Linked DNA regions of Lonchura striata. The protein of the gene in region 1 interacts with the protein of each later gene in a pairwise test. Links are inferred from orthologs where the notes say so. Each region holds a gene or a part of one and is shown in the gene's direction. Other genes may lie near its edges. The genes, in order: MEOX2, HAT1, KDM8 and PCSK5.

Region 1 (8,055 bases):
ATAGATAGAAGCAAGCATTGTTAAAAATAAAGAATTATAAAAATGCCCTTCACCTTTTTTCCATGCACAATAGTGTCTGTATTTTCAACTCCAGTGAAATGTCTTTTAAATACACATACAGATCAAAATCCACAATCTGAATTGTATCAAACAATAAAATGCTTAAAGTGTAAAACACAAGCCTTTTTTTCTCCCTCTCTTATTTTATGAGGAAAATGGACAGAGCATAGCGTGTAATTGTCAAGATCTGGGGACGACAAAATGGAAAACATCTTCTTCAGGTATTATTGACTTGCCTGCATATGCATTTTGAGTACACTTCTAAATACAAATTTAGATATGTATTATTAAAGTGCCCGACAAAGCTAGTCATAGCTGTTTTCTAGTTCAACTATTCTTAAGTGGAGATAATACTAGAGAGAATTAAAAAAATGTTTAATTACAATGCAACAAGCAGAATGGGAAAAAAATGTATTGTGCAAAACTGTTCAATTTTCAAATAAATTATTTATTTAAAACAAACACACTCCAAAGTTTTGAATATGACTTCTGGGACTTTTGGGTATCTAATGTGAAATGCAAGTTTCCCATAGTATGTGAAATGCATAGCTTCCCAAATTCTAAAAGCATTCCTGAAACAGCATAGTTCAGGTGTGAAGCCTCAAGTGCATTCAGAATTTTAATATTTCATCAGTTTATTTAAATTAAATAGGAAGCATAAGATATTTTACTGGTTACAGTGGGCTGGCAATTCAAATAACTTTTAATGATGTAATGCAAACTTGTAAATCATTTTCAGCGAGGGCCTCATGGCTCAGCACAACTTTTCTGTAGTATACTAAATTGCTGGCATAACTTTAAAATTTGTAATGCTTGGAGATCATGAAAATAAGAACAGAAGCCATATGTATGTGGGAGAAGTAGCTGGAAATATTAATTCAGGCTTAAAAGTTTTTACAGATCTGTATTTGTCTTTAAAGCAAAAATTGTGTCTGATAAGTGTTAAACCATGGCACATGTAAGCGCTATAGAGAGTGAAATGGAAATATACCACAGAAATGCAATCTTAAAATTGTGGTAGTGCAATTTATCAGAAAAAAATGTTTCTATGATGAAGTATTGTAAAGATACTGGTGCAGCATAGGTTTAGAATAGTAAATGTGATTATTTTCAATTTTAATTAGTCAGAGATTCAGTATTTTTGACTAGTCAGTGAACAATTATTCATTTTCTTTGCTAGGATTTTCAGTTAAGGCATTCAAGCATCCCTGAAATAATGCATAATCCCCAGGCTTTATTACTGCTTATATCTGTGGGTTTATATTGCCATACAGGTACCAAGAGAAACGAATTATATTGCTTCAGAGGGAGTTAAACTGGCAAAAATTCGGAAAAAAAAGAAAAGACTGAAAATAAATATACATCTGTTGTGAATCTGGATTGACTCTAAGGTTGAATGATGCCTGCATTGACCAAATTGCCATGAAAAAATACGAACTGATCATAATTACAGTAGAATAGAACTCTGTCCTCTTATTTGGTAGGCTCTTGGGTACAATAAAAACTTTGGCTAAAAGAAACTGAATTCATATTTGTAAGCTTTCCCTTTGACAGTAATGAAAATATTCTTAAATTGTGTAAATTGCCATCCTTTTGCTGACTTCAGCAAAGTTATGACAACTTATATAATTCAAATGGTCCCCAAATATGACTTATCTATCTGATTTTACTGTAATACGCATATTGCAAATATGCAAACCACACACTAGAAAGAACTGACAAGAATCCTACTTACATTCTGATAAATATTCAGGAAGGTGGTTCTTTCAGCCTCCAACGTAAAAAATCAGAAAGACTACAAAAGTCCTGAAAAGGAGGAATTGTACACTGGTTCATTCAGGTCAATTTTACATGATCTCCTTCCCCATGAATGGTAAGTTAAAAAACCAAAAGCGACCCACCAGCAAAACCAAGAAACACAAAGTGAATGCAAATAGTAGCCCATACATGAAAATATAAAGGATGTTCCAAACTGTGTTGGCTCCAGATGTTTTTATGAGTTAAACAGTTTACTGTTTTCACATATTTAAAACATTCTATTTTTTTCACTTGATGTTTATAAGCTTTGGGCAAACTTGCTGGCATTGATTTAAGTTATGCTTTTGTACCACATGTAGGTTAAACACACATTCTGAAAAGGTACAATGCAAACAAGAATTCAATCATTAATATTGAGAGGCAGCAACTGCTTACAATTTTTTCCAGTAATTATTCTGCTATTACTGAGAAGCTTTACACTGAAGTTATAACTAAAAAGTTATAATTTTTTTACAAAGGATGCTATCATATAGCCATAGGTATTTGGTAACTGCACAGAAACTTTTGGAATAATTTCAGAAAGTGTTTGAAGCTGTTTGTTTGCCTTCACATTAATTGCCTATTTTTGCATTCTCCTTATATAGTTTGAAATGAAAGCATAAAGCTCTGCAGTGAAATGCATATCCAGTTCATGTGTGCTTAACACTGGTTTTTAAAGAAGTAATAAGAACACTTGATATAGGACCTATGAACTTATTTGGAAACTCAGAAGCCCAGGGAAGCACATTCCTGAATAGACAGATTTGGATATGAAGCTATTGACAAACACGGAGCTGTGCCATTATAGCTTTGCTATTGCATTCTTTCTTTTCTTCTCTTCACCTTTTGGAATCTCTTCTGCCTCTCCCTAAAATGTCTTATTTGGCTTGTTTCTTACTTCTCTTGGAAACCTTATCTTTCTCCCTCTTTCTCGAACCCTCTCACTTTCTTCATTGTGCTTCACTTCACTCCTTTCTTTTTTTTTTTTTTTTTTTTTTTTTCCTTTCTTTTGGTCATGTGCGAGAAATCCTGCATGGCCATTCCCTAGAACGAAGGCATTTTTACACCGCCTTGGCTTCGGGACTTCCCCGACCTCTTCACAGCTGTGGCTGTGTGAGGGATGCGGCAGCAGCGGCCCTGGAAGGAGGGGTGCTGGCATTCCAGCCCCTCCGGCCCCGGCCCCCACGACGGCGACTCGCCCCCGTAGCTGTGGCGGACAGCAGCAGGTTGGAGAGCGGCGGAGGGCAGCGGTGCGGTGCGGAGCGGTGCGGTGCGGTGCGGTGCGGAGCGGAGCGGTGCGGTGCCCGGGGCCGCTCCCCCGCTCCCACCTGGGGCCGCCGCCCGCCCCCGCAGCCCTCGGGCCGCCGCCGCCGGGGCCGCGGCGGGCGCGACGCTCCGCGCCTGTCGCTGTCTCGCAGTTATTGCTCCTGTTTGTGAGGGACAGCAGCACCCCTGTGCTGCCAGCCCGGCGTGTTCCCAAACTCAAGAGGGGCTCAGCCATCGAGATTTCTTTGTATTCCTCTCTTCTAATATTAGAACACATATTGAAACGATAAACACAATGAAAAGCACAAAATATTTCATCAGTGTTGTAACTGTATATTTCCTTTATTCTGAAGAAATATCAAGTTTTGAACGGTGCACAGAGGCAGCAACTTCTGCTTTGGACGCCGCTCTCTTTGTAAAGACCGCGATGTTACAGTTAAATCTAAAGACAGTTATTAAAAAGAGTTAGATGTCAGAAAAGGGGGGAAATCTTACCGTCGAAAGACTGCTGCAGGTTCCAGCTCAGTCTGAAACTGCAGTGAAAAGCGGAGCAGCTGCTGAACAAAAGTTTTAGATTTTTTTTTTTTAAGAAAGTCTGCAAAACTAATTTCCCACAAAATAGGACTCAATTTCCGTTTAAGAAACTAGCTCTTACAAAAGTCATACAATTGCTGATTTTTTCCACTAGCAATTGAAATTCATTTTATCTTTAGCACATGGACCCAAGAATTTAGACTTGAGAGAAATGGTTTCCCTTTTCTACTTTTTTTTTTTTTAATATAGTTTTGTTTTGGGGGGAAGGAGGAGCAAGGTACATCGAGTAGGAAGAGCTGGAGAATAAAACCGCTGAGCAGTGGGCACCTCTTTGGTCATTGATCACTAATGCGTTATCCTGATTTAAACCAGTTAAGAGACGCCTTGGTGGCTACTGTAATTCCACTACGCGCATGTTAAAAAATGATTTTAAAAAAGGAAAAAAAAAATAAAAAGACAGGCCCAAACTTTCCAAGTTATTCCCCAATTCACTAAAGACATTTGCAACGAAGCAAATGAAGATAAAGCAAATAGACGTTATGTGACTTCTTGTTTTGAAGGGGCAGAGGGCAAGAGGGGAAACTTCTCTGTGCAGCCAGCCTTGCTGGCACGGTGGGCGCCGGTAGGTTCGTTGCAGAACCAGCCGCCGATGCCGGGGCACAGCGTGAGGCTGTGGAGGGCAGCCGGGGCAGCGCCGCGGCCCGTGGCGAGTGCCGGGGCGGTGGGCGCGGGCGAGGAGAAGATGGCCCGCGCCGGCACCTTCCGAGCGGGGGAGCGCAGCCGGCGGCCCCGCACGCCGGCGCCCTCGCACCTGGGCTCGCAGGTGAGGCGCTGGCGAGAGCACTTCAGCTCCCGGGGAAACGGGGAAACGGGGGTGGCCCCCGCGTCCCCCGCCCCAGAGTCACCCCCGCACGTCGCCTCACGTCTTTACTGCGCTCCCTCGCCCGCCGCTCGCGGGGGCGGCGGGACCCCGAGCGGCCCGTCGGCCCCGACGGGGCGGTGATGGCCTGCGGGGCCGTGCGGCCGCGGCGAGGGGGGCTCGGGCAGCCGCGCGGGGAGGCGCGGCCCGCGGGGGCAGGGACGAGCGGGCTGCGCCCCCGCGGAGCCGCCCCCCCGCCAGGCCCCGGGCGCCCGGGGCGCGGGCGCGCAGCGCTGCCGCCCGCTGACGGAGCGGCTCGGCGCGGGGACGGCGCTGGCGTTTTGGAGGGAGTTTGCATGTGGTCAGTGCTGTGCTGCTGAGCCAGCCCCCAGCTCACATTACACACTACTGTATTTATAACCTCTCGAAGCTGTTTCCCCCTTCAAGCAGTTCTCTGGGACCACCTTCTATTGGCTTCAACCTCTCCCACTTCTTGACATCTGAGCAGCTCTGAGAACGGCTCATCTAGGTCCGAGTGTTTATGCAGCGGAGACTGGCCACTAGGGCTAAAGATCTGGATTATTTGAGCTCAGCTGCCTGCTGCAGAGCCTGTCGGTGCCGTTTTGGAAAAAAAAATCCCAGCCCCGATCTGTTTACAGTGAAAGTTGACAAAGGGTGGTGAAGTTGGATCTTTCCTAAACTCTCCTGCCTGGAACCTGAGACTTGCATGCCATGGATCACACACTCTTTGGCTGCCTGCGCAGCCCCCATGCCACTGCGCAGAGCTTGCACCCTTTCTCCCAGTCTTCTCTTGCACTGCATGGAAGATCTGACCACATGTCCTACCCTGATCTGTCTTCTTCTTCTTCCTCTTGCATAATAGCGGGATACCCCAATGAGGAGGGCATGTTTGCCAGCCAACATCATAGGGGGCACCATCACCATCACCATCACCACCATCACCACCACCAGCAACAGCAGCACCAAGCTTTGCAGACGAACTGGCACATTCCTCAGATGTCGTCTCCTCCCGCCGCGGCCAGGCACAGCCTCTGCCTTCAGCCTGACTCAGGAGGACCCCCGGAGCTGGGCAGCAGCCCCCCTGTCCTGTGTTCGAACTCTTCCAGCCTGGGCACCAACACCCCCACGGGGGCAGCGTGTGCGCCAGGGGACTATGGCAGGCAGGCTCTGTCCCCGGTGGAAACAGAGAAGAGGTCCGGCAAAAGGAAAAGCGACAGCTCAGGTAAAAACTCGCGCGTTCCCCAGCCGGGGCGGGATCCCCGGGTGGCGGGGAAGTGGCGCGGTCGGGCCCCGCGGACCTGCCGCCACTCGGCTCGGCTCGGCTCGGCTCGGCTCGGCTCGGCTCGGCTCGCCCGGCCACGGCCGCCGCCGTGCTCTCGCCGCCGGCTGACACCCGGCTGCAGGGTTGCTCCTTCCCTCCAACGCGCTCTGGGGATCTCCATCACTAACGCAAACTTTATTAAAGCTTCGGGGGGAGAAATAGAAAGAAAAAATTCAGCACGTGATAGAGTATGAAATCAAGGTGGTGGTGGGGCGGCGGGGGGAGAATTTCCTACAGCCAGAGAGAAACGTTTGTAGTTTTGGTGCGGTTTTCAGCATCTGGTCCCGCGGCCCCCTCCCCCCTGCCCGATACGACACCTCTGCTTCAAAATTCAGAATCCAGCGCGCTCCTTCCCCTCCGCCCCTTCGCGGAGCTGACTGCGGCTCCGAGGCGATTGCACAACGCTTGGAAGCTCTGCCTTGGAAGCGGGGATTCGGGAGAGGAGCTGATGCCTTGCTACCCTGTAGGATCTGAGGATCCCTGTAGGATCTGAGTGATCTCTGAAATCCTCAGCGTGAAGGGGCAAAATTTGGACTCTGTGAAGCAAACGGGTGATTGGGAGTTTCAGAAAGCTGCTTCACTTCAGTTTTCTGGTGGCGGGGACAGAGGAAATGAAGGAGCAGTCTGCCTTCTAAAATCACAGTAATTTTTACATAAAAACATGTAGACCCACAGTCATTCCAGACTGATGATTTGGCATCAATGAATGGGCAAAAAACCTTGACATTATCTCTGCTTTCTAAAATAGCAAAGCCTTTCAAAGTCCTGATCTGACAAAAGGCACTCAGCGAAGGCAACGCAACTGATGGGACTTCCATTAGGGCACACATGAACCGAGGGGTCACCAAAAATATAGTGAGACAGGCAGGAGGCACTTGAAAGAGAGAGGGCTCAACAGATTGAAAACTCAAGAGCTGGCGTAGCAAATTATTTGTTATCACAGAAGAGAAAGTGAAAGGCTTTTCCAGATATGTATGAAGTTCACAACTGAAACCATAACCTTTCACTCAAAATGCTGTAAGCTTAGCCAAGCGCAAGCAACAAAAAGGATTTAAAAAAATAACCCTCAAGAATACCATCACTTCCTTCCTTGTCCATTACATTAGCAAATACTAACAGTTACAGTAATTCAGAACGTATTTATCTGCATTTTGTCTTACGTAGCTGGTGTAGCTGCTAAAAACTCATGCATTTAAAGCTGTATTTAGTTCAAACACTGCTGGTAAAATCTTTGTGTTTGTCTTCTTTCAATGAGAAAAAGATTTATCTGATTTTGTGAGGTGTATGAACAGTCCCTGTTACAACTGAGAAAATAACTGGATGCCTGCTGGTGTAAGGATTTATTGTATTTGTTGGTCTATTTAAAGCTAAAGGAAAAAAGGAAATTGGTCCCTTTCACTGTCAGAGAAGTATCCGAATCACTTTCTGTTTATTTCATTCTGCAATGCAAAAAAAAAAACAACAAAAAAAAAACACCAGTGAGGAATGTCCTAAACCTTACCCTGAAGTGACTGGAGCCTTCCACTGGATTAGCGGACAAGAGTTCAAGCCTTTAGCCATGGTTATGCTTATCTTGCAATGCACTTCGAGCCTCACTTTCTAAGTCTTTCTGAAGATCAAGGCAGGTAACTATTTCCTTCTCCCTTCCGCTAAGAAAAAAATACGACCGTTCACACAATTGTGAATCTCTCAAACTGAAAATAGATGTCTTTTGACAACAGCTGCATAGTTGCTATATGTTTGGTTTTTCTTCAGGAAAAGCCTGAGTTTTGGACTGAATATTTAACCCCACCCCTTTATTAGTCCTGAACTCTGGTGCTAGATATTTAGTGCTATTCTCATATATGGCAGCAAGAATTATTTTAATTTGCTGTGTTTCTATATTTGTCATCCATAATTGCCCCTCATTTGATTAAACATCATCACCTTTATTTCTCATTAATCTTTTTTTTTAAGACAAATGACTGTGCTTGAAAGAATTTCTTCCATGCCTTCATCAGACTTGGAACTTCTTCAATAGACATTTGTAAAAAATCCTAATAGTAAATAACTAAAAGGTGAAGAGAGAAAGAGACTGCTTTAAGTTTCAGTGCCAGCATTCTGAGACAATTATTAATGCTCTTGCTTATTTACACATACATTTCCTCTTAAGCACATCACTTAAAGCCACAGAATGCTTAGCGTTTTCTTGAGCACT
Region 2 (7,807 bases), on another chromosome or scaffold:
CTTACTCAAGTCTATGGTTAGCAAACACCTAAAAGGTAACTTATTTGATGGTGCACAGACATGAAATTTCAGTGCCTGCATTTCATAGTTAAAGGATTAAGAGAAATAGCACATCTTTTTAATGCAAATCAAACTTTATCTTTTTAACAGTTTAAAACAATTAGAAGAAGCAGATAGCACACCTCAAAAATTCTGAAGAGAAAGGTATATACTCAATGTCCTTTAAGATACAAGGTACACTGCACGGCGAGAGGGCACGTATCCCATTAGAAGACGTGCATGAACAGAAGGAAATCTAAGGAGACTCTCTATGATTAAGGTGGATGGTGACGAGGCCTAGAGCTCACATCTTCCCTTCTAACCATTTCCAAGGGAAGCCAAATTTAGGAAGGAATGCACGACCTTTAGCTGAAGTTCAAAGAAGAGACCAGCACTCTCAGCAAGGAGTACAACATATCTGACCCCTAAACACTTGCAATATTTCATAACAAGACTTTCTGCAACTCAGTCTTGAAAAGAATGATTCTCCTTTGTTTTAAAGTCTGCAAGTAAGTTTGATTTCTAAGCATAAAAAAAACCCACAATTTCAAACTCAACAAAACATAGAAGAAATACAAACTCTTTTTTCTATGCCTTTTTTTTACTGCAAAATCTCACATACTCAAAGAGAGAGAGGAGAGCTTCTTATTTTTCATTTCTCAGAATATCAAACAATTCACAACTTCATTTGCATGTTTCTTTGAAGAAAACAAGACAGCCATGGGGGAAGCCTTTTATTTTTAAACAAACTGTCTGGTTTTAGGTCAATAAAACACCAGCCAGTGATACAATGTTCTTCCTCTCTGCTGTTGTCTGTATGACCACTATCAAGAACTTAATTTCCCTATTTCCAGAAGCAAGAACTTCTACTGACTGGATGTCAAGAATCATAAAGAATTCACATTTACAACTGAATAATGTTTTGACACCTCATTTTACTGTTTTTCATTCAAATGTGCAAAAGTATTTTGCGAAAAGGTGGAAAAACACGTTCTAGAATCACATTTTTATACTGTATTAATATATATTTTAAAAGATAATACTTTTATGTCACTAATTTTAGTAACATACTCTAGTGTAATCTTTACCTACAAAAGCTGAATGCCATGTCAATCAAAAATGAACCTGTGTTGGAGTATCTTTTACTAGAAACTAAATGTTGAGCTTCCACAGTTTGATGCCAGCATTCTAAGTATTTGCACTCCAGCAATGTCATAGTGTAATCCAGTATGCAAAAGAAAAGGCCACCAAAATTACGGCTGGGATGCAACTCCTCTCTCTCAGGCAAAAAGCTCTCTCTGACTACTTATCATATACGGAAATTGCTAGATGGTATAGTAGAACCAGAAGATACATATAAATAGTTAAATAACAGACTTTATTATTTACAGTATTAACTCTAATTTTATAGTCCTAAATTTTTAAATAGAGAAAAGCTTCCTAAATATGCTGTGTAACACTCAACATTAGGGAAAAAAACATATTTTAGTCATTTTGAAATATTGGTGGCCCTATTATGGACCTAAAACATAGTTCTTGTTCTTCTTATTATTCCATATGACTGATTCAAACTTTATCGTTAAAGTTTTAGGATTGACTGGATCAATATCCTAAAGTTTCTGATTTTTTTCCTTTCTGATCGCACTTTAGTGAAACTAAGGGAATGGAGAAACCTTCATGCTATTATTTATGTATGCTAATTCTAAGGCCCTGCAAGGGATAATATTGCAAGACATATTAATAATGAGAAATCAATTTTAAGTTCTAAAAACACTCCTAGTGGTCCAACCATTTGCATGAACATATATAAATCCCAAGGACAAAACATACAGTCGTGGAAGAAAAATTTTTTTGATTCTGCAAAGGTGCATTTAAAAAAAAAACAGCACTTCATTATAATTATATGCTTTATAGAAAATTAGAAAATAGTTCAGGAGCTTATTTAATATGGTAATTTGGAAATGGTTATCACACTTTTTGCCAGCAGCAGGTTCTCCTCAATGCCTGACACCCCGTCAATACACTACGCCTGCAAAGTGAACTTATAAGTGTGCCACCAGCACGACACGAGTCTGATGCCACGGTAAACTGCTGAAAGAGCAAAACACCGAAGTCCGACACTCAAACAACATTAGATCTTTTTACCTGCAAAAAAATATTCCGTAGTTCAGCGGGATCCGCTCTTTTGGTTGAATGCACCTGTAAACACAAGCAAATGAATGCTTCGCTTAGGCGGGCTGCTGTCAGATCGCAGAGCAACCCGCCGCGCCGGCCGAAGGCGGCAACACGGCGTCCCTCGTCAGACCCACAGGCCCAACCTCAGCCGCGACCGCGCCGCGCCGCCGAGGCACGGCACGGGGCTCCGCGCCGCTGGCAGCTCTCAGCACGGCGCTGGCTGCGAGCGGCGCCCGGCCCCGCAGCACGACCGCCGCCGCTGCCCCGGGACCCCGGCCCGCGCCCCCCGGGGCACTCCGGCGGGCGGTGCGCCGCCGCTCCCCCGGGGCCGCCCCGCCATCACCGTTCCCCGGCCCCCGCGGGAATCCCGCCGCCCGCCTGCCCCCGGCCCCACGCGGGATCCGCCCGGCTCCTCCTGCCACCAGCGGCGGAGCGGGAGAGTCACCTTGACCGCCATGCTGCGCCCGCCGAGGAGGAGGAGCCAGCCGCCCGCCGCCCGCCGCGCCGCCGCAGCACCGCCGCCTCAGCGCGGCGCTGTGGGGAGAGCGCCCTGCCCCGCCCCGCCCCGCCCCGCCCCGCCCCGCCCCGCCCCGCCCCGCCCCGCCCCGCCTGTGGGTGCGCGGAGCGGGAGCCTGGTAGCGCCTCCACAGTGCAAAACGGGGCCTCTGAATGCTGCCGAGTCTCCTTGTGGCGCAACACATGCAGCCGTGTCCCTGAGGGTCAGCAGAGGTGTGCGTGTACCTGTTGGTTTCAGGTACCGAAATTGTTCATAGGCTGGTGTTCTGGCAGCTTGGCTGCAAGTCGGTTGTAGCTCTCTATTTCAAACATAGAGCTAGAGGCCCAAAATCCGGCTGAATTCACTAACTTCTTACAAGGTCTTATAATCCTTTATCAGCAGAGCACACATATGCTTTATACTTAAAAATAAAAAGCATGCAGGCCGAAGTCTTAAGAAAGGGAAGGTTTATACCTTATTCCAGCAGTTCAATCATGGTGCTTATAAAACCTGATTTAAATAATACTTCATACTATGTCTTGCTGTGCTATTTCAAGGGCACAACAAATTGTCTTTTATTAGATGGCACTGGAAAAAGGTAGATTCTGGTACTCCTCAAATAGCACAGAGAGATATTAAACTAAATACAGTAACTGGTAGCTTACAATGGTGGTCAGAAAACAGTGACTCAAGTTTAAAACAACTTTCCTCTGGTAAACAACATTTTAATTACATGTCAAAAAAAAGGTTTTCTTAAGAGTTCATATACTACATATATGCCTATGTCCCAGCTGACAGCAGAAGTTTTGCTAGAAATCTTGCCTATTTGGTAAGCATCTGACCACCCAAGTATGTTGTTCAATAAAGCCATATGTGTACATGCTTAGCTGCAGGGTGTTATGGTTTACCCTAGCCAGCAGCCAAGCCCCACACACTCACTCACTTGTTCCCCCACCAGCAGGACTGGCGAGAGAATTGGAAGGGTAAAAAGTAGAAAACTCATAGGTTGAGAGACAAGCAGTTTAATAGGAAAAGCAAAAGCTAGGCAGACAAGCGAAGTAAAATCAGGAATTAATTCACTGCTTCCCATGGGTAGGAAGGTGTTCAGCCATCTGCAGGATGGCAGAGCTTCATCACCAGTAGTAGTTACCTGGGAAGACAAACATCATCGCCCCAAACATCCTCTCCCTTCTTCTCCTCACTTTATAGACTGTGCAGGATGCCATCTGGTCAAAAATATCTCTTTGTCACTTAGGGACACCTGTCCCAGCTGTGTCTCTTCCAACCTTTCATTCAGCCCCAACATCCTTACCACCATGGCAGTACTGGCTCCATGTACGCCCTGCTCAGCAATAACAAAAATATCTGTTCAGCACAAATCCCAGAAAACACGGAATAAGCTGAGTTGGAAGGGACCCTCAAAGATTGAACCCACCACCCCCACACAAGCCAGTGTGAAAAGTAATTCTACCCCTGTCCAAACCAGCACAGCAACTCCCACTGTGCATCAAAAGCCAGGTCTCTGAAAGAAAACGGCAGAAATCCCACAATAGCTGCAACAAGCAGTTCAATATAGAGAGTTTTATTTTTTTACTAATGACAGAGCTCCGGCTGTTTGCTCGGCCAAAGCGTAACTGCAGCAATGAGCAGCGAGGTCTGAGAGTGAGGAAGGAGCCGGCAGCCGCAGGGTCCGCGACGCGCGCGGAGCCGCCGCACGTGACAGAGGCGCGAGCAGCTCTGCGCACGCGCGCCGGCCGGCCCGCGGTCTGGGGTGGGCGGGGCGGGGCGGGGCCGGTCACGCGAGCCAGCGCGAGGCTCGAGGCGGTGCCGGGCATGCGCGCAGGCTGCGCGCGCCGCGCGGGGCAGCTATTGGCTCCACGCCGGGTTTCGGCGGGCGGAAGCGGAAGCGCCTGCGCGCGCTCTCATTTCCGGCGGGCGGGCGCGCGGGTTGAGTCGCGGCGCGGGGCTCGGCCATGGCGGGTGAGTCCCGGCCCGGGAGCGGCAGCGGGGCCGGTCCCAGCCTCGCCGGCACGGGCAGGAGAGCTTAAGCTCGGAGCCGGCGGATGCGGGCGGACGGGAACAGGCTGTGAAGGAGGGGAGCCCCTCTGCCCCTCTGCCTCTCTGCCGCCTGACTGCCATGGTCCTGCTCCTGCGTGTCTGCGGGCTTATGGCCCCCACGGTCTGGTAGTGTTAGACCAGAGAGTGTGTCCGTGGCCACGAGTGTGCTGGCGGTGGGCAAAGAGCTAAAAACCCGAAAGTGTTTTTACTTAAAGTTTGCTGCCTGAAGTAAGATGCAGAAGAACTTTCTTATGGCCCTTTGAAATGAAGCGGGGGTTATGTTTGTGAAGCACTTGGAACATACCTGAGGTGAAACGTGTCTTCTGGCCTAGATTAGGCTTTGGAAATCACATGAAATACAGTGCATTTATTTGCGTTTTTCTTCCACATCCGTTCCGGAAGAGTAGTGCTGGTTAAATAATTGCTAGTGGTGTACATGCCACTGTAGTTCATTAATAGCAGTTTATGAAACTGACTTAATGCAAACACTTGAAGTGTGTTGACACGTGTTATTTATAACATGTTATACTGAATTCTTATTCAGTATTGCATGTTATAAGTAGCACATATGAAATATATATTTAATTTGTAGTAACTTAGAATACTTAATATTTTTATGGTAATGACTTTAATTCTCAGAAACTAAAATGAGATACTTGTATGTTTTCTAATTCCAGAAGAGTGTGTGAGACAGCTCTCTTTATCCTCTGTATTGATGTGTTGTGGCATGTTGTAGCTGTTTTAATCTTTCTTGTTTGGTGGTCTCGTGTTAAGTGTTTTTTCTTGGTTTATGACCCTTTTTCTAATATATTTTTTGAGTAATAATGACAAAGAGATTGGACACCTCTTAAAAAAATCTCTTTTTTTTCAGGACTTACTGCTATGGAGAAGAAGCTGGCTGAATACAAGTGTAATACAAATGAGGCGATTCAGCTGAAGCTAGGTAATACCACTTTTTAAATATTATACAAGTGATACTGAAGTATTCTGGTGTCTTTCTGTGAAATAGATACATGTATACATCTGTGTCAGTTTCTCAGTCCTAGTCTGATTACTGATTTGATACTCATAGGTCAAGTAACATGAATCCAAATTGTATAGGATGCCTTGATATCATTTGTATGCCACTCTCACATAGTTTCTTAACTAAAGTTGTCTGACTCTAGTGGAAAGGTGTGTGAACAGCTCGCAGGGCTTCTGTGGATAAACAGATGAAAGGTGGTGACTTGGTCATGCTCTCTTCTTTTTATTTTCTCAGTTCGCTTTCCTGAGGATTTGGAGGATGAGAACACAACATTTAATCCAGAGTACAGCCATCAAGTGTTTGGAGATGAGTAAGTCAAAGTTTCCAGATTTAAACTAATAGGTCCCAAAGGACAAATTTGTTTCCAAATAATTAAAAACCATAACATTTTGCTAATATGGAGTGCAAGATAAGAAGTGCTGGCCTGGTGCTGCTGCTACATTTACTGGCACAGGATAGGACGCCTCTGGCCTTCGTGCACCTGGGCACACGCTGGCTCACTCGTGTTCAGTCAAGTGTCGACCTGCACCCCCAGCTCCTTTGCTCTGTTCTTCCCCAAGTCTGTCACTTGTGACCCAAGTCCAGCAGTTCAGCACTCCTGTCCAGCCTAGTGTTGACTGCAGCTGACTTAGGGAGCATTCAGATCACTGATAAGACATTAAATGGGACTGTCACTGAGCCCTGGGGAACACCACAGGGGAACAGCTGTCGGGTGCATTTGACTCCATTCCCCACCACTCCTTGGGCATGGCCATCCAGACAGTGAAGAATGCCCCTGTTCAGGCCATGAGCAGCCAGTTTCTCCAGAGGAATGCTGATATCAAAGTCTTCCCTAAAGTGTAGGTGAAAAAGTATTGTTTCTTTTATTTTGAGCATGCTGAATTAATTAGTGCTGAAGTGTCATCTATTATTTTCAGTAGAGTGATATTCAACAATCTGGCCATAGATTTAAAAAAAACCCAAAACAAACAAACAAAAAAAAACAAACAAAAAACCCCGAAACAAACCTAAAGAGAATCCACCTGTATGTTTCTGTGGACTTCAAGTAGTTGTGTTTCTTAATTTCAATTTCCTTTTGAAAGCATTCTTAAGTACTTCAATTAGAATGAAATACCTGTATTAAATGTAATAAATTTGTTATACCAATAGCATCATTGACAATAATTATAATTTTAGTAATCAGAGAATTCTCCAATCTGTTAATTTAGCTAAGAAGGAAATTCTTCTGGCACTTAACATTTCAAATTTTAAATTATGAATGTACTACCATAAAAGAAAAATCCCAGTAAAAAAAAAGTTTCAGCTATGCTTCAACAACAACAACAAAAAAAATTGGCCTGTTTCTTTGTGAACATTACTATTTTCTGCATGTGTTTTCCAGAAAAGAAATTCTCTATTCTTCATAAGAGTATCGAATTTGTGTTCAGGCAGCTCGTATTTTCAAACTGTAAAAAAGGCTTTTGTATTCTATACTTCTTTTTGCAGGTACTAATTTCTGGTTAGATTGGATAACTAAATAGAAACTGTCAACCAAAAACTTCACAAATTGCTACACCTGGTTATCTGTGCTTTGTACATTATAGATTGCAGTCGTTTACTCCAAAATATTATACTACACTGCAAAATAATTTTTAATAAATATTAGCAATCAATTAATGTAAATAACTGTTAATGAGTTAAAGCTGTTGAAAAAGCATAAACACAGTATGAGCTGTATTCTTTCCTGTCACAGTAAGGACACAGGCACTGCCTTACTGAGCTCAGAGTATTTCCTCTAGAGGAGCGAAATAATAGAAGCAGTGTAAGGCATTACCTCTGTCTGTATAGTACACATCCAGTTTGATTCCCTTTTCCTATTAGGAAGCTTACCTTACCTTACTGGGAAAGATTATGTGAATCTCACATGAAATGAAGCAACTGTGATGTGAATGTTTTGTTATGTATCAAGTTCCTGGTTGTTATTTTTTCCTTTCTCAGTGAAGTTGCTTTTGGCTACAAGGGACTCAAGATCCTCT
Region 3 (8,168 bases), on another chromosome or scaffold:
TAAACCAAGTAGTAGTAACCTTGTGAACAAACTTTTTCATGCTTCCGCTTTCATATTAAACATGCTTTTTCTGATACCTTCTCCGGTGATTCTTTAAGCAACCTTAAAACAGTCATTCATGACAGCTGTAAAGATTTTATGTTTTCTTTAATGTTGAAGGAGCTTATTTGCAAATATGAAAGGGATTCAAGTTGATATAAGGAAAAAGAACTTTAAAATAGTCTAACTTACATAATTTCCATTCAGCAAAGGTAACTAAGGCTACATGTGTAAGCAATACTGCCTCAGTTGCATCTCAGCAGACACATATGTCCCAGATGGATGTTATGTAATGTTTTTGTAAAATAAGTATTTTCCAGTGATTTCTGAAAGTAGAACTGGGTGTGCTGATATAGCTTGCTCCAGAAAGAACACTGTGTGTCCTATACCCAAAGCAATGAGACACATTCCAAAGTGCCATGCAAAATGTCACCTTATCTCACTTAAAGTTATTTCATCTAGTAATATCAGGGAAATTACAATATGTTGTTCTACATGAAAGTACATGACAGCACTATTTGTGAGACCTGGCAGCTGCCACTCTCGGCCAAGCAGATGGCAGTGATAAAAACAGTTCAGGGAACAGGTTGATAAAGATATATCCATCATTACACTGTCACGGCACATCTACACTCAACTCCAAGACACAATGAAAATATAGGGCTGTGTTACTCTCCATCAGGAAGACCTTGCTCATCTGAGGAAACTTTTGCTTAATAATTAATTCTGTACATATTTTAATCAGAATCATTCATCTCTTGTTCAGAGGAACAGAAAAAGCAACCTGGAAAGACATCCAAAATCTTTAGTCTTATGTGTTCACACTTTTGTTCTTGCAGAAGAGGAGATAATCATTTCCTGTAAAGGCAAATAAAAGCCATCTATGGCTTTCATAGCAGTCATCAATTTATATTCCCATTTAGGTTCCATTTTTACCTTATTTTGCATGGGTGGGGAGGGCACAGGGGCAATGTTAAGTGAGTATATTGTGTATACTGCTCATAGAAGGTACCAGTCAACCACTCCTGGAAGCAAAAACAGCCTAAGCACTGGTGGCAGCAGCATTATCAGCCTGTCCCCACTTCATCCCTGCTCCTGGACACTGCCAACACTGACAGGCACTTACCTGCTGCGATGGCTGGTGAATGCCCAGGCATTCCAAAAGCCCTGGAAACACGGCAACAGATCACCTTCCATGGTACAGAATTTCAGAATGGTACAGGTTGGAAGGGACCACAGTGGGCCATCTGGTCCAACCCCCCTGCTCAAACAGAGTCATCCCAGAGTACCTGACACAGGATCGTGTGCCGTACATTCTGGAATATCTCCAGTGAGGGACTTTCCACACCCACTCCAGGCAATCTGTTCAGGACATCTCATCCACACAGTGAAGGAGCTGTTCCTCAGGGTCAGGTGAAACTTCCTATGCATCAGTTTCTGTGCCTTACCTCTTTTCCTATTGCTGGGCATCACTGAGAAGAGCCTGGCTTCATCTTCTTGCCATCCTCCCTTTAAGGAGGGTATAAAATCCAGAGTGCCAGGCTGCCAAAAGGGATATGGCATTCTTGAGGAGCTGAGCAGCATCCTGGAGTCCTGAGAAAGAAAATCTTCAGTGTTACTTGTTGGGCTCTGGATTGCTAGACATGATTTTGCACTGAAGAAGGTTTAATCTTTAACAAGAACTCCAGACAAGGCAACCCATCTGAGATGACTTCACCATTCACCACTGCAAGCAATTTACACATACTGACTTGTGTTTAGATATTTGGGGCATCTACTTAGTTTTTATTACTCCTGGCCTCACACTCCTTCATAGAACAAAAAAATGCTTTCTCTATCTGCTAATTCAAACTGGCTATTCCTCACCAGACTTCAGCTACATTCGCCTAGGGAAGAATCAAATAAATATGTACAAGCAAGCAGATGGTGTCATTTTAAAAACTGATCCACCTAATACAAACATCCTACTTTGGACTTAAGTGGCGAACCACTAAGCAAGTGTCTTGATGTAACTTTAATAAAATTCAAAAACAAATCACAGGACTTTGTTCATCAACTCTAATCAGCAAATGAGTAAAGACTGCTATAAAGGAGAATACTCCTATAAATAATTTTTTTAAAAAAATTAAATTCTAGACAGGGCAAATACTCTCTGGCCAATATGCTTTTCAATGAAGACAAATGCAAACTAAGACATAGAGTGTATTTTTTATACTTGGTGTAACTAATCACTTTTTCACCAGTAGCACATAAGGTAACATCAACTGTGGGTCCTGGAATCTATCACTGTAAATAGGAGAGAAATACAGATAGTTTTATCTGTATACAGATGGCATTATCTCCCTTAATTGTGTGCCTGTTCATTTGGTTTTTTTAAATAGATAACTTCTTTCTGAAAGTCCATGCAAGGAGAAAAAGAGATGGCTGAAGCATATTTAAAAATACACAGAATACAAAAGAGAACAAAAAGCACAGACTGTAAATCAGGAAGCAGCAGGGAACCAAGTTTTCTTCTATGCCTTAGGGAACATTTTCTACAAGGTTAGGCAGTCTGCTTTCCACAATCTTAAAAAATTTTTACTTCTGATAAAAACAAGTTTCAGTATTGTGGCATAATCCATGGAACTCTTTTTCCCATCAATTTCTGCAGGTTAGACACATGACAGTAATCTTTGTTCTTTGGCAGCAGGAATTAAATTCTCTCTTCTTGACCTAAAATGGAAATGTCTAGCACTGAAGTCATCCACTTCCTTGGTCAGGCAGCTCACACAAAACATCTGCAGTAGCTTACAGGCATTTCAAAACTAGCATGCATTATTGCAAGGTTAACTGCTCTGAGAGCTAAACTTCCCAATTCAGCATTTGCAAATCTGTTGGGTTTTTTTCCCTCAATGAGGACAATTTCAACCAAGTTATTAAGATGCAGCATGATATTATGAGATTTTAGTGGATTTTCCTCCAAGAGGCCAAACACACAAGACTCAGTACACACCCTAAGACCTGAGCTTTATTAGCTCAGCAGATATACAGCCCCTTTAACTGCAACGACAACTCCCTGAATGGAATTTGTAGCCAGGTGGGGTAGGTCTCTTCTTCCAGGCAACCACTGACAGAACAAGAGGACACAGTCTTAAGATGCACTACAAGTTTTAGGCTGGACATTAGGAAGAAGTTCTTCACAGGAGTGATAGGGTATTGGAATGGGCTGTCCACAGAGGTAGTGGGGTGACCATCCCTGGAGGTGTTTAAGAAGACTGGAAGTGGTCCAGGTGACAAGGTGGTGTTAGGTCTCAGCTTTGACTTGATGATCTCAAAGGTCTTTTCCAACCTAGTTGATTCTGTGATTCAAGGCTATCAATGCTGTATCAGAATTCAAACTATTGCACCAAAACTGACTAGAAATAATTGTCTTCCAATGTACGCTCACAGAGCCTCCCTGAATACTCAAAAACTAAAATCACCTGAAGTGAAACTGATAAAGCTCATCATGGCCTCAATGCCTCACTGCTGTGCTGGAGATTACTTGTTCAGACCTTGTTGTTGTTTGAAATTCCAGAAAAAAAATCCTAATCTTCAAAATGAAACTAATGAAAATATTATTCATATTTAAACTGCAAAAACTATTACTTAACTAAATGCAAATAAATGTCAATGTAAATGGTTATAAAAAGTGGGCAGCCCACAGACACAAGACTAACAACACTTGCTAGCATCCTAAATTGCAAATAATGAACATAGGGTTTAACAAGAAAATCTCCTTGCCACTTAAATACTTTTTCCTACAGCAGCATATATTAACATTTAGCAGTTAAGGAGAAAATACTGAATGAAGGTGCTAAAATCACACTGTCACAGAAGGAATTTAAGATGCCAAGAGAAAGGCAGTCAGAAGACAGGCAACAGACAGGCCAGCATGATAAGCAATGCACAAGCCTGAAGTGTGAGAAGTGTGAGAGCAGAAGTGATAATTTCGAGGAGACAGCTGGGGGGCCGGGGGAGAGCCACCACTAGCAGCAACAGAAGGATTCAGATCAATTTTTTTTTTTCCTTTTTGGAAAGCACTAGTGACTGAGCATGGAACAAAGAAGAGCGGGTATCTGAGTACAGAAAATAAGGATTTTAACTTTTTCTGTAAATTAGGATTTGTCTCAAATCCAAAGACTTCAACCCTAACTAGCAACTAAAAATTCCTCATTTCTTGTTATGGTGGTTTAGTTTGGTTCACCATGTTAAAACATTCCTCAGTTGCTGAATTTTAAATAAAATATTGTTTTGCCTTTGTAGTCAAGTATTAAGCCCTGAGAACGTTCAGGTCACATTATCAAAGCAAGTTGGGGCTCAGTGATGCCGTGTCCAGCACGTTAGAAAGTAAGAAGAGTTTTGTGCATATTCCATGCAGAAAGCGCTCCTGTGAGCAGATGAACACCAGGCAGCTGAGCCAGCGGGAGGACACGGGCTCAGGGCCGCGCCGGGCTCCGCTCGGGCTCCTCGAGCGCCGGGCAGAGACGTTTCTTTGCAGCACAAAAGGTCGGCTGGGAAGAGCGCATCTCCCTTTTCCCTCAGCACTCACCGCCTGCGCTCCGCTGTCCCCAGCGCAGGCAGCCGCCTCCTCACGCCGGCGCTCGGCGAACGGCCGGAGAGCGTGGCCTTCACCGCGTCTACGGGCTCCCCTTTCCTGCGAAAGCAGCGCCCATCACAGTCACTCAATTCCAGCTGACTCGCTGGTCAAGTCACAGGTAAGAACGACAAATCCGAGCTTCGCCGGCGCGACCGAAGCTCGGCTCCCGGCTCCTCCGGGCACCGCCCCGCGCCCGGCCCCGCCTCAGCCCCGCCGGCCCGACAGCGCTGCCTCGCGGCCGTCGGCGCAGGCGCGGCCATGGCGGCGGCCGGCAGTGCGGCGGCTGCGAACGACAGCCTGGCGCTGTGGGCCGAGGTGCGGGCGCTGCTGCCCCGCGCCGAGGACGGGCTGACCTTGGCGCTGAGCGGCGAGGTGGAGGACTGCGTGCTGCCGCTGCTGCGGCGGGCCCGCGCGCTGCTCTACGGCGCGGCGGGACGGCCCGGGACGGCAGCGGCAGCGGCGCTGGAGCGCCTCGGCGACGTCCTGCGTGACTACTCTTGGGAGAAGCTGAACGCGGGGCCATGGAGGGAGGTCGGCAAGGGCTGGCGCCAGGTGTACGCCTACGGCTGCCTCTTCGGGACGCTGGCCGAGGTGGCCGCGGGCCGGCCGCTGGCGCGCGCCGTGCGGCTCTGCGACCTGGGCCTGCTGATGGGCGCCGCCATCCTGGACAACGTCCTGGCGCGCCTGGTGCGCGCGCTGCAGCCGCACCTGCCCCGCGCGCGCGCCCCGGGCGGCCTCGCGCGCCCCCTTGCGGGCGCCGCTGAGGCGCAGCGGCCGCTCCCGAGCCCCCGGCTGGCGCCGCCGCCCGCCCTGCGGCCGGAGCAGCTCGTTCCGCGCCTCCGCCGCCCTTCGCTCCAGCATTTCAGAGACAACTACCTCCTTCCCCAGCGGCCTGTGGTCCTGGAGGGCGTCATGGACCACTGGCCCTGTATGAAGAAGTGGAGGTGAGAAGTAAATTTCTTCCCTGTCCAAGTTAAGGCGCGATCGTTCCCTGTGTTGGGTATCTTGATGCTCGATAGAGCGGCAGACCTCCACAGGCAAAGGATACCATGGACAGTGCATTTTGCTAGCAGCACAGTCCCACTGCTCTGTGGAAGTTGCTTCATAGATGAGGGAAGCTCTTCATAGCTTTCAGTGCAGGACTGTCTGGGGGCCAAGGTGACTCTTTGACCAGCCTCTGACTCTTCGTGGGTGAAGGCCACCTTCTGCTGTCCCAGCCTTCAGCCGTCCCAGGAGCCCAATGGCAACACCTGGGAACTCACGAGACGTGCACATTGCAAAGTGCCACTGGGCTACTCACAGCTCAGTGGATGTGTCAAGGAACACACATCAGTGCTTTTTACCCCTTGGAGCTTGCCAATAATTACTGCAATGGAAAGTGAATTTCAGAGCCAAGAGTAAGCGTGGTTGACTTTTTCATTCATAAGTCCAAGCACTGATGTTTGTCCAGTGTTGTGTTTGAGTGTTGAGTTTCAGACACCACTGTGCAGGACTGAGTAACAGCATTGTGCTGCCTGGTTAATGCACACAATGGTGCCCACATTTCCAACATTGAGCATCAAGTGTTTTTGAGGTGAAGGTCATGATTCCCCAGAAAAGGGGAAAAATCACTCATGCTTAGTTTAAATAATTGCTTTAGTTCAACAACCAAAGATAAAACTGAGTGCACACACTTGTTATGTCATAGAGATTTTATTCATTTTTGAGGGAAGGTACTGTACTGGTTAAGATTAGACACTTAACAAGATTAACTTCTCAGTTTAATTAATACAGTTGTCCATGGAGAGATGTATTTCACCCATCAAACTCATCCCCTCTGGCTACAATTGGAATTGGTATTATTGGCACCTGCTGACAGAGAGTTGATCTAATATTACTGAGTAAAAGATACAAGATTTTATGAAATGTAGCAGCAGGCAGAAAAAGATTGGCCATCCCTTCCCAAGAGACAGTAACAGCTTAAATCTTCTTCGTTTGGAAGAAAACAACTGGGGCAAACAGGCTTTTAAACCAAAACAAAACAGACAGTTGTGGGGTCATGTCCACACAAACCTGCCTGCTGATCTCCTTGTTGCTTGCAGTCTTTTATTCTGCCTTTTTATTCTGGTTGGTTTGGTTTAGACAGGAGAAACTCAGGGTAGTAGAATTTTATTACCCAACAAGATTGATTTGGATTGATTGTTTTACATTCAAAATTAGTAAGAGCAGTATAGAAGGTAATGGAACTTTCTTTATTTCAGTGTGGACTATTTCTGTCAAGTCGCAGGGTGCCGCACAGTCCCAGTGGAGTTGGGTGCTCGGTACACAGACGAGGAATGGTCTCAGCAGCTCATGACTGTCAGTGACTTCATCAGCCAGTATATCATGGATGAGGTCTGTTACACTTGTTTGTTTGATTTCCAAACACAGCACCGTGGTACTGGTAAAGACAACAGTTCTGCTTACAACAAACCTACTCAGAGGTCATATCAAGGGAGGGGGTGTGCTGTAAGCACAGTTCTGAATTAAAAGGTTTGACATATTTTTAAGACGTGAAGCTAGGAATAATTATAGCAACGATAGGTTTGAATTTTACCTATAATTAAATGTACAGTAGCTGGATTTTGATTAATATATACACACATACATATGTAGCAAAAACCTGACTGGTCGAATCTAAGAATAAGGGATCCTCAGCCAGCAGCGTTGTTCCTCTTTCTCATTAAGCTGCTTAGTGAGATTTAGGATTTACAAGCCATGAGGCAGAAAAATACAAAGCTGATTAGCGAAGTCTGGAATGTCCTTTAACAGGTGAGGATCCCAAACCCCAATTTCTGTTTCCTGGCCTTCTGGCAGGAAGGACTATGTGCCATAGCAAATTGCTCTGTGGTGCACCCCGGAATAGAGTATGGAAGTAGTTCCAGAGCGTGAAGGAGAACTGGTCTGTGTGCCAGCAGGGTCTGGCTAGAAAGATGCAGCGTATTGTCAGCTGTCAAGACTCCACAGGGAGTCCCAGCTTCCTTCAGTAACTCAAGCTGGATAATTTATTCATTGTAGAGACACACCTACACTCTCACAATTTCAATGGAGCTGTAAGTTGCTATATCTGAAGACACCTTATATTGTTGAAATAATTATATATAGTACTCTGAACAGGACACTGGAATTTACTCTAAGTAAATTCTATTCACCTCTAAGTAAATTAATCCACTGTCTTACCTGTATGTTACTATGATTTTTGTTTCTCTGCTGTCATTTCAGAACAATGTAGGATACCTTGCCCAGCACCAGCTTTTTGATCAGGTAAAACTGAGTGAATGTTTTAATCTTCCTACAGTCATGTCTTCCTTTTGTAGCACAAGTTGTCTCTCAAGATGTTGACTGTAGTCGATTGAAGGGCATTTGGAGAATTCGTAGTAATTCTTAAGTTTCTATTCCCATTATTTGAAGGAGCAGAGGGAGAAGTTTGTTCTATTTGGCTACGAGACATGGAAACAAAACCCTTTTGGGATGAAGACATTCAATCCTAGTG
Region 4 (7,918 bases), on another chromosome or scaffold:
AATGTGCACTTCTTCTGAAAAGAACTCAGGATTCACTTACTCATCCTTTACAGGATGCTGTGTCAGGCATTGAAGACAGCTGACAGAGATTCCTGCTTCCACCATTCTTCTTTTCTCTCCATGCCTTAGCCATTCATTCTAGCTATGCACTGTGTATTATCAGTAAAATTAGTATGGCTACTGGCACTGTCAACTAGATCTCTGAAATAAAAAAATAAAAAATAATAATAAAAAAAAACAAAAAGAGAAAATAAAAGGAAATATACAGTTAAAAAATAATGACAGTTCAGATTAAAGCCCTAAGAGATGCATTTGCACAAATGGGAAGACAGCAAATAAGTATGCTGGCACAGGCATCAGTACAAGAAGTCTCTTCATGTGGTGTAACAAACACTAGCATCATTTCAAATTATGCCTGTCAGCACAGCCATAACTATAATGAGGGGAGAGACATTCTTTCAAAAAATTGCAATAAACACAATCAAAGATGTAAAGGTAAGAGGGACATTCTGTTCACAGGGTGAAAAATAGACAGTGCAGCCTTATTCATAAAACTAGAAGGAAATCTACATAATACCTGAATAAGGCAGCATCAGTCCAATTACCAGGAAAAACCCAGAGACACACCTGTTCCTAGATCCAGACATAAATGCTACTGCTTTACTGCCAACAGACAAGAAATAAAGGATCATTCCATTTGATTCCTTACATGAATCACTGAGCTTCTGACACTGAGCTCAGGATAAAATTGAGGCTTGGGTTGGAGCACACCCTGACAAAGCCAAATACCCATTCCAATTTCCTTCTGTTCATTCCTTTGTGCCACCCCAGCTTCTTTACCCCACTTGAATACCTTTACCTGTCCTGTCTCTTATCTCCTCTACATTCAGGACAAAAGGCTTGCCTCCTTGGTATTTCCAGAAAGTTAATTAAAGTCTACTGTCAATTAGCATGTTCACTCCCATCGTGACCAACAAGAAGTGGGAAGAGAAATAAGAGGTCATACTTTGCTGTGGACTGCATACAGGGTTAGATATACAGACCCTATAGTCTACACACTGGGAGAGTGAGAGGTATCCTAGTGAGAGGAGTGAGCAATCTCAACAAATTGGCTGCTGAATGTAAAAAAAGTGTCTAATGTACAGGTGAAAACTCTCATGCAAAAATTGGACCAACATAGGTGACTTTTCATGAGAACAGTGAAGTACTCAAAATACATACCCTGCTTCAAAGCATAAAGAGACAGGTATTTATCAGGAACAAACCTGTTAATGTACTTAATTATATGGAAAACCAGTGTTTTATTAAAAACCAAACTAAAAACCCCAAAACTTAGTTATATTCAAAATGTTAAAATATGTAAAATCAGAGGCAAGCCTTAAGCATGGAAAACTGGAGATCAAAGAACTGTATACCAGCAAATTGGATCATATGGTGGCTGGTGTCAAGTGACCTAGCTGTACTGTTTATAAAAACAAGTAAAAACAGTTATGCTTGAAACTGAGGAAATCTAAATTCTCCTTTGGATTCCAAAACTATCCATCTTTCTAAGTCAACCTCTAAACAAGTCCTTGACACAACCTCCACTCTTCGGATGTTTCCTTTGTTTCATCTACTATGGCCCAGACTCTCCCTCTCAAAGGCTGATGAACATATATTCCCAGTTTAGTCTTAAAATAGACTGTGTTCTGGAGTGTCTTCAGGGACCAGCACATCTGCTTGCATTACTTCTTCCTATAAGACACTGAGCTACCACTTTGCTTAAATTTATATTTTCTATGTGATTTCCTCCTTAATTATGACTCTGGGGTGGCTAACACATCTCTGGAGCACTGATCTGCAAAACATACAGGAGTGCTAGAAAGCTGACATAAAGGACAACACAGTAAAAAGGCTGCTGAAGCTGGTGAGCCAGAGGGATTTTCAGGCTGAGAAAGAACTAGAAAGGAAAGAATAATTTCTGGACTAGGTAGGCAAAACAGCAAAACAAGAGGCAATTAGAGCACATAAGAGAGAAGTGAGAACAGCCACTGAGGTCAGATTCTGGATTGCTATCATTTGGAATTAACAATAGAGGAGGGATTAATGGATTATTATCAATAAGTAAAGGACAAGAGAGAGACCTGTGGAAATTTGCATTTTGAGCAGTCAGGCAGATACTGACTTTTGTCATAAAAGAGAGGCAAGAAGGGGGTGGAGAGGTGTGTGTGTGTGTCTGTTAACAAGAGGCACCAGTGTAACAATAGTGATAAAATGGATCAAATTAGTGCCCTTACCAAGAGGAGATAAAAACTTTTCCAGTGGTGTACAGAGAGACAAGTTATCAGGTCTCCCACAGAGCTCAAAAGCAAGCCCAGCTACCAGCTACATACAGTCCACATATAGCAGGTACACTGAATAAAACTCCCACACTGCTGCCTCAGCCCCCTCAGTCTCTCCACTCCCCTGGTATATGAAATGCCTGGCTCTTTCAGAAAGGAACAGAATACGGCATGGCAGGGGTTCTCACCTCTTTTTTCCTTTTTTTTTTTTTTTTTTTTTTTTTGAGGGGGTGTAAGGAGTGAAGTCCCTAGGGATTTTGCTTTGATGAGGTATTCAGCAAAACTTTACAGTCTGGAGTTCATATTGAAACACACTCAAATATTTCACAGCGCAACCAATGTCCAAATGTTGCCACACTAGCTATAATTGCCATCTAACACAGTGGCCTCAGCAAAGAGGACTATAATCACAGAAAAAAATGTCTCTGGGGACTACACCCCGCCTCTTCCAGAGGCTGTTTTTATGTATAGTACAATTTTCACAACATTTTTGTTATACTGTGCAATATGATGCAGCTTTATGAAAAGATACTTACAGACAATGATGTATTTATCAAATCAACTGATTCCTAGTGACTTCGGTGCTTTGTATAAAACACCATCAAGTGAGACAAGTTGGAAGTAAGTACATGACAGTATGGATTTTCTTTGTAGTGTGCACCTTTTGTCCATTATCTGTAGCAAAAAATATGGCAGTCAAAACAATAGTAAGATTATCTGAGAAAAGACCAGAAAAAAATTTTTCAATTTATTATCTTCAGAAAAACAAACTGGGGTTGCATAAGATTCAGGTGTTGTGACCCATTGATTGCTATTCACTTCTATAGAGCAGATATTAATGATTAAGCATAATAAGCAGATATTGGATAAGAGCTGACTTGTGTAATTATCATTGAACCAATGAATTAGGAGGGCTAATTGCTGCATTGCTAAGGCTAATTGCTGAGGGATATTTAATGTCATATTCAAGGAATGTGTATTTTTGAATACACATAGCAACAAGGTGTAATTGCTTGGTCCTAACAGCTACAATTCATACAAGGGCCTGCTGAATTGAATGAGTGCTGGCTGCAGTTTCAACAGAGGAACAATTTGCTCAACAGTAAGCCACCATCTGTGAAATCCTAGGAAAGGCAAGTTCCCATGAATTCTTAAATGTACGAACAGAACTTAACAGTACATTTGAATATACTGAGAAAATGATCATACAAACTACAAAAGAAAATACATAGAAGAAGCAATCTCTGGAAAATAAATTATTGGAGACATCAAACAAACAGGGAAGCAAAGGATGCATTTTCCTTCTTTCTATTTTTTAAAAACTATCAAAAGATGTGGGAAGACATTAATCACCAGTATAATACCCATATGTAAGGGAAAAAATTAATGAACATAAAGCAGAGAATCACCGGAATTGGAAAACATGGCTTTCTATTTCTACTTTTCAAGGGAAACAGCTGCTTTAAAGGTAGAGATGTAGGTTTTCATGGAGTTGAAAAGGAGCTCCATGTTATTCTATGATCTTCTGTAAAGCATTTAATTTCTCATACTTCAGGGAAAGTGACAGCTGCCTGACTTTTGCCTACTGTCACCTTTGCTGACATTATTTTCCTCAGAGAAAATTCACAGATTTACATTAGTGCATTGCAATGTTACTTCTCTTGTCCAAATTCCTTCAAAACTTGCAACAGATCTTCACAGTAGGTCTGTTGGACCGATTATTTCAACTTTCAAGCAAAACAAAGTAGATCTACAGGTAGTCCAAAGCTATTATGGTGACTCAAATGCTTAGACCATTAAACAACAAGCTTGGGATGGAGTGGACATGAGCTTTCTCCCACCCCAGCCAGGCACTAGCCTGGGACAGCTGCTGATGATTAGCAGCATCTTCTCTGGGCCCAGAGGTGCTCTGCTTATGGAAGCAAGCTGCAGATCTGTAGCAACGCTACATACATAGCTACATGGATGAGGGAGCAGTGGGAGCTCTGCCTTCTCTGTCTGGGTCTGGACCACTGCTCCTCTGCCAAAGCAGCAGCCACCCCCTTTTCTTTTCGAAGGTGGTGACCACGGACAGACGGGCTGCATTAAACGACGACGTGCGATGCGTACGATGTGCGGCCAGCAAACGGGCACACGGCGCCTGCCGGAGAGGCAGCCGTGGGGCTGTTCCCGTCCCGCCCGGCAGCCCAGCAGCTTCTCCTGGGCAGGCAGGCCGGGGCAGAGCCGGAGCAGCCGGGGCTGTCCCGCGGCCCCCCCTCGCCCCGGGCGCCCTTTGCCGCCGGTGCAGAGCACAAGGCCCTTCCGCAGGCCTCGCCTCGCCGCGCCCGCTGCAGCCCCGCTGGCGGCGCGGCGGCCGCCCGGCCCGGCGGGGGCGCGGAGACAGCGCCGGGGGCGGCGGCTGGCGAGACCAGCGGTAGCCCGGGGCCCCGGAGCGCAAAGAGGGAGGTAACCCGGCGCCGACACGGCTGCCATTTCCCCTGGCCTTCGGCGCTGAGGGATTGAGGGCGGGGAGAGGAGGCGGAGGAGAAGGAGGAGGGAGGGGAGAGGGAGGTCGTCGAGTCGGAGCGCACTGAGGCTCGAAGCTGCCAACACTCACACATCGCCTGCCGCCGCAGCCGCGCTGCTCCCGGGCTCCGGAGAGAGGGAGCGAGTAGAGGCGAAGAAAAGCCAGACGCGGGAGAGGAGGCAGAAGACCGCTGGCAGAGGGAAGGAAGTCAGAGAGGAGGGAAACGGAGGGAGAGGGATAAGGACCCCTCCTCCCCGCGGAGAGACGACTTCCCATGTAGCTAGGGATAGAGGGAGAAGCTGGCGCTCAGGAACAGTGAGAGAAGCTCTCACAAGCAAGTTACTTAATCCGGGGAGAGCGGCGGGAAGAGGGCACAGCAGTAATCACTGATCAGAAGCACTATTCCCAACCCCTCATCATTTAAGCCCCGGGCGGTTCAATGCACTACTCCAAGCTCTTCCTAGTTTCTTCCTCGGGCTAACTTCGGAGGACGTACCGCCGGAGCGGCCCGGAGGGGAGGACAAGGGCCTCGGAAGAAGGAAGGAGTTTAGTGGGGGCTGCCTGCGGAGGAGAAGATGGGCTGGAAGCGCCGCTGTTGCTGGGGAGGCGGAGGCGGCGGGGACCTTCTGTGCCGGCTCACCCTGGTGCTGGGATTCCTGCTGCCCGCCTGCAGGACGCGCCTCTACACCAACCACTGGGCTGTGCGGATAACCGGGGGGCTCCCGGAGGCCAACAGGATAGCGAGCAAATACGGATACGTCAATATAGGACAGGTAACGCTGGTCACAACTCCTTCCCAGCGGGCAACCGGCGCTGCGGCCGCCCTGCGCCGCCGGGGCAGGGACGAGGGCGAGGGCGAGGGACGGGAGGCCCCGCGGCTGCTGCCCGGGCACGGCCCCGCCGCAGGCCCCGCCGCCGCCGCGGGGCGGTCCGCGGAGCCGCCCGGCTCCCCGCCGCGGGCCCCGTGAGGTGATGCGCGGGGACAGGTATGCCGGGGAGCTCGGGGTCGTGGCCTTCCCCTTCGAAGCCAGGTGTGAAACGGGGCGCGGGCCAGGGAGCCGCCTGCGGGGCGGGAGGGGGAGGGCATCGGCGGGGGGCGTCCCGCCGCGGCTCTGCGCTCCGCCTCGCTGCGGCTGAACTTTGCGCTCCGCGGCGGACAGCCTCTCGGCGAGTCGCCTCTCCGAGCTGAAAAGAGCCGGTACGAGACGAGCCGGCAGCCAGGACGTGGCAGCCGCGGCCGCCGGCTCGCCGCAGCGCGCTGAGTCCCGACCCCCGCGCTGGCGGGGCGTGCGGAAGGAGGCGGTGGCGGCGTGTCCCGGGGCGGCTGCCGCGCGTGCGGCTGCCCGCGGCGCTCCGTGGGGAAGGAGAGCACGCTGCTGGGGCCAGGGCACACCTGGACTTGGCTAGATCCAGACGTCACCACGTCAGAAAATTCTTGTATCCAGGCAGGTTAGGAAACTGAAAGTTAGCAAACACCTGGTTCTCACTGGAATGGAAAATGCCCCACTTCTACAATTAGGCACAGTTCTTTTTAAAATATCCTAACTTCACTTTTTCTTAAGGAGTTTATACTCGGTGTTCTAGGCTTTCCTCGCAGTTGTTCTCAAAATCCAAGTTGCATATGTAGGGTTTACAAGGTGAGTGCCTAAAAAATAAACTGTTTGCATGTTCTGTTGCATGCTTGGGTGCAAACATCCAAGTACATTCTTTCTGGACAGTAGTTTATTCTACATGAATCGAAAGGTTAGAAATGAACATTTACAGGTACAGAAGGCTTCCTTTTATACATGAGATTTACAAAACCGTATCTGTGTTTACACTCCAGGCGTTTCATATCAACCAAACCAAAATAAGACCTGATTATTATTTTGTTTTAAAATGGATTCCCACCTACTACATCATTGAATCAAAAGTTTAAAGTACATATCAATTGCAAGCCTGAAAAAGACAGCTGGTTGGTCAATTAAGAGAAATAATTTACATGAGAAAAACTGGAAAATGTCACTGGGGTATCACAAAACGTGATGTGTAAGGACGCAGTTACTTAGAGTATCAACTTCTCACGTAAGCAGACAGGCAGTACTACTTCCAGCTGGAGGCACTAAAATATGGGAGGAAGATTGCATGTCAAAAGTGAAGTACTACTTTGGAACTACAGTTTAGGAATCAAAATTTTTTGCATCGGTTTTCTTTTTAGTCTTGAATGTTTTTTGTTCAAGATGATTTATTCCTATCTGGGCCCTTATAGTGGCAAAATTTGCAACCATTGGTTGCAGGATGCGCCTGTCCCCATTTTTTCTTTTGTCAGGCTGGCTGGTTAGCTCAGAGCCTGCCTTTTTGTACTTTGCATATGTAAGCCATGTCTTGAATTAAGGAAAGAATGTTGTAAACCTCTGTTGTTTCTTATGTGAAAGTGTCTATATACAATTACAAAATACCAGTAATGGATAATACAGATTAGGTATACAGATTAGGTATACAAATGAGAATGAGAGAAAATAGAGACTATAAGTAACTGAAAATTGGAAAATGCTCTATTAGGTATATGGATGAAAAAAAGAGTAGACTGTGTTTCTAGGTAAAGATGGGTAAACGGAGTAAGGTACTAACTTTTGGAGAAAGGGAATCAGGAACAGTTTGGACAGATGAGGTGGACTTGTCCATAGCGAGCTTTCTTCATAGATCTGAAAAAGCAGGAAAATACTTGATGCAAAACAGGAAGTGCAAAAAGAAGATCAGAATGGGGCAATAATCTGCTGGTTATTATTGAGCAACAATTGCAAGTAATTAAAAAATTTATTTTGAGTGTGATGTTGAAAGATATTTTCTTAGCTGAATATGCTCTGAAAATAAGAGACACCAATAAGTAGAATTTTCTCATAGAGTTATAGAATAGGCATAATATTTTTGGTTACATTAAATTTATGAGCTCATCTATATAAAGAAAGTGAAAAAAGCTAAATCAAAATTCCACTGCAGCTGGTCCAAAGGACTAACTTACAAATTATCCAGAAAAATAACCTATTGAAAATATTAAAGATAAGTAGTGAAACTGTATAAAAATGAAAGTTTCAAGCCAGGAACATTCTGA

The links.
Region 2: the proteins of MEOX2 (region 1) and HAT1 interact in binary tests that used the Homo sapiens proteins (3 or more experiments, as listed by UniProt). The two-hybrid records come from large-scale screens. The link is inferred for Lonchura striata from reciprocal best matches to the Homo sapiens genes MEOX2 and HAT1.
Region 3: the proteins of MEOX2 (region 1) and KDM8 interact in a two-hybrid assay, tested with the Homo sapiens proteins (2 studies listed by BioGRID). The two-hybrid records come from large-scale screens. The link is inferred for Lonchura striata from reciprocal best matches to the Homo sapiens genes MEOX2 and KDM8.
Region 4: the proteins of MEOX2 (region 1) and PCSK5 interact in binary tests that used the Homo sapiens proteins (3 or more experiments, as listed by UniProt). The two-hybrid records come from large-scale screens. The link is inferred for Lonchura striata from reciprocal best matches to the Homo sapiens genes MEOX2 and PCSK5.

The regions. Positions count from the first base shown.
Region 1 is NC_134603.1:128,046,942-128,054,996, forward strand, and holds the start of MEOX2 (homeobox protein MOX-2), read left to right. Parts: upstream 1-4,796; 5' UTR 4,797-5,248; coding exon 5,249-5,759; intron 5,760-8,055. UniProt on the Homo sapiens protein: Mesodermal transcription factor that plays a key role in somitogenesis and somitogenesis and limb muscle differentiation. Required during limb development for normal appendicular muscle formation and for the normal regulation of myogenic genes.
Region 2 is NC_134610.1:20,438,944-20,446,750, forward strand, and holds the start of HAT1 (histone acetyltransferase type B catalytic subunit), read left to right. Parts: upstream 1-4,598; 5' UTR 4,599-4,683; coding exon 4,684-4,690; intron 4,691-5,639; coding exon 5,640-5,711; intron 5,712-6,026; coding exon 6,027-6,102; intron 6,103-7,769; coding exon 7,770-7,807. Other genes in the region: SLC25A12 (electrogenic aspartate/glutamate antiporter SLC25A12, mitochondrial), read right to left, coding at 2,185-2,238, 2,660-2,671. UniProt on the Homo sapiens protein: Histone acetyltransferase that plays a role in different biological processes including cell cycle progression, glucose metabolism, histone production or DNA damage repair. Coordinates histone production and acetylation via H4 promoter binding.
Region 3 is NC_134618.1:17,463,955-17,472,122, forward strand, and holds the start of KDM8 (bifunctional peptidase and arginyl-hydroxylase JMJD5), read left to right. Parts: upstream 1-4,915; coding exon 4,916-5,601; intron 5,602-6,897; coding exon 6,898-7,030; intron 7,031-7,897; coding exon 7,898-7,939; intron 7,940-8,168. UniProt on the Homo sapiens protein: Bifunctional enzyme that acts both as an endopeptidase and 2-oxoglutarate-dependent monooxygenase.
Region 4 is NC_134642.1:69,633,159-69,641,076, reverse strand, and holds the start of PCSK5 (proprotein convertase subtilisin/kexin type 5), read left to right. Parts: upstream 1-4,865; 5' UTR 4,866-5,402; coding exon 5,403-5,600; intron 5,601-7,918. UniProt on the Homo sapiens protein: Serine endoprotease that processes various proproteins by cleavage at paired basic amino acids, recognizing the RXXX[KR]R consensus motif. Likely functions in the constitutive and regulated secretory pathways.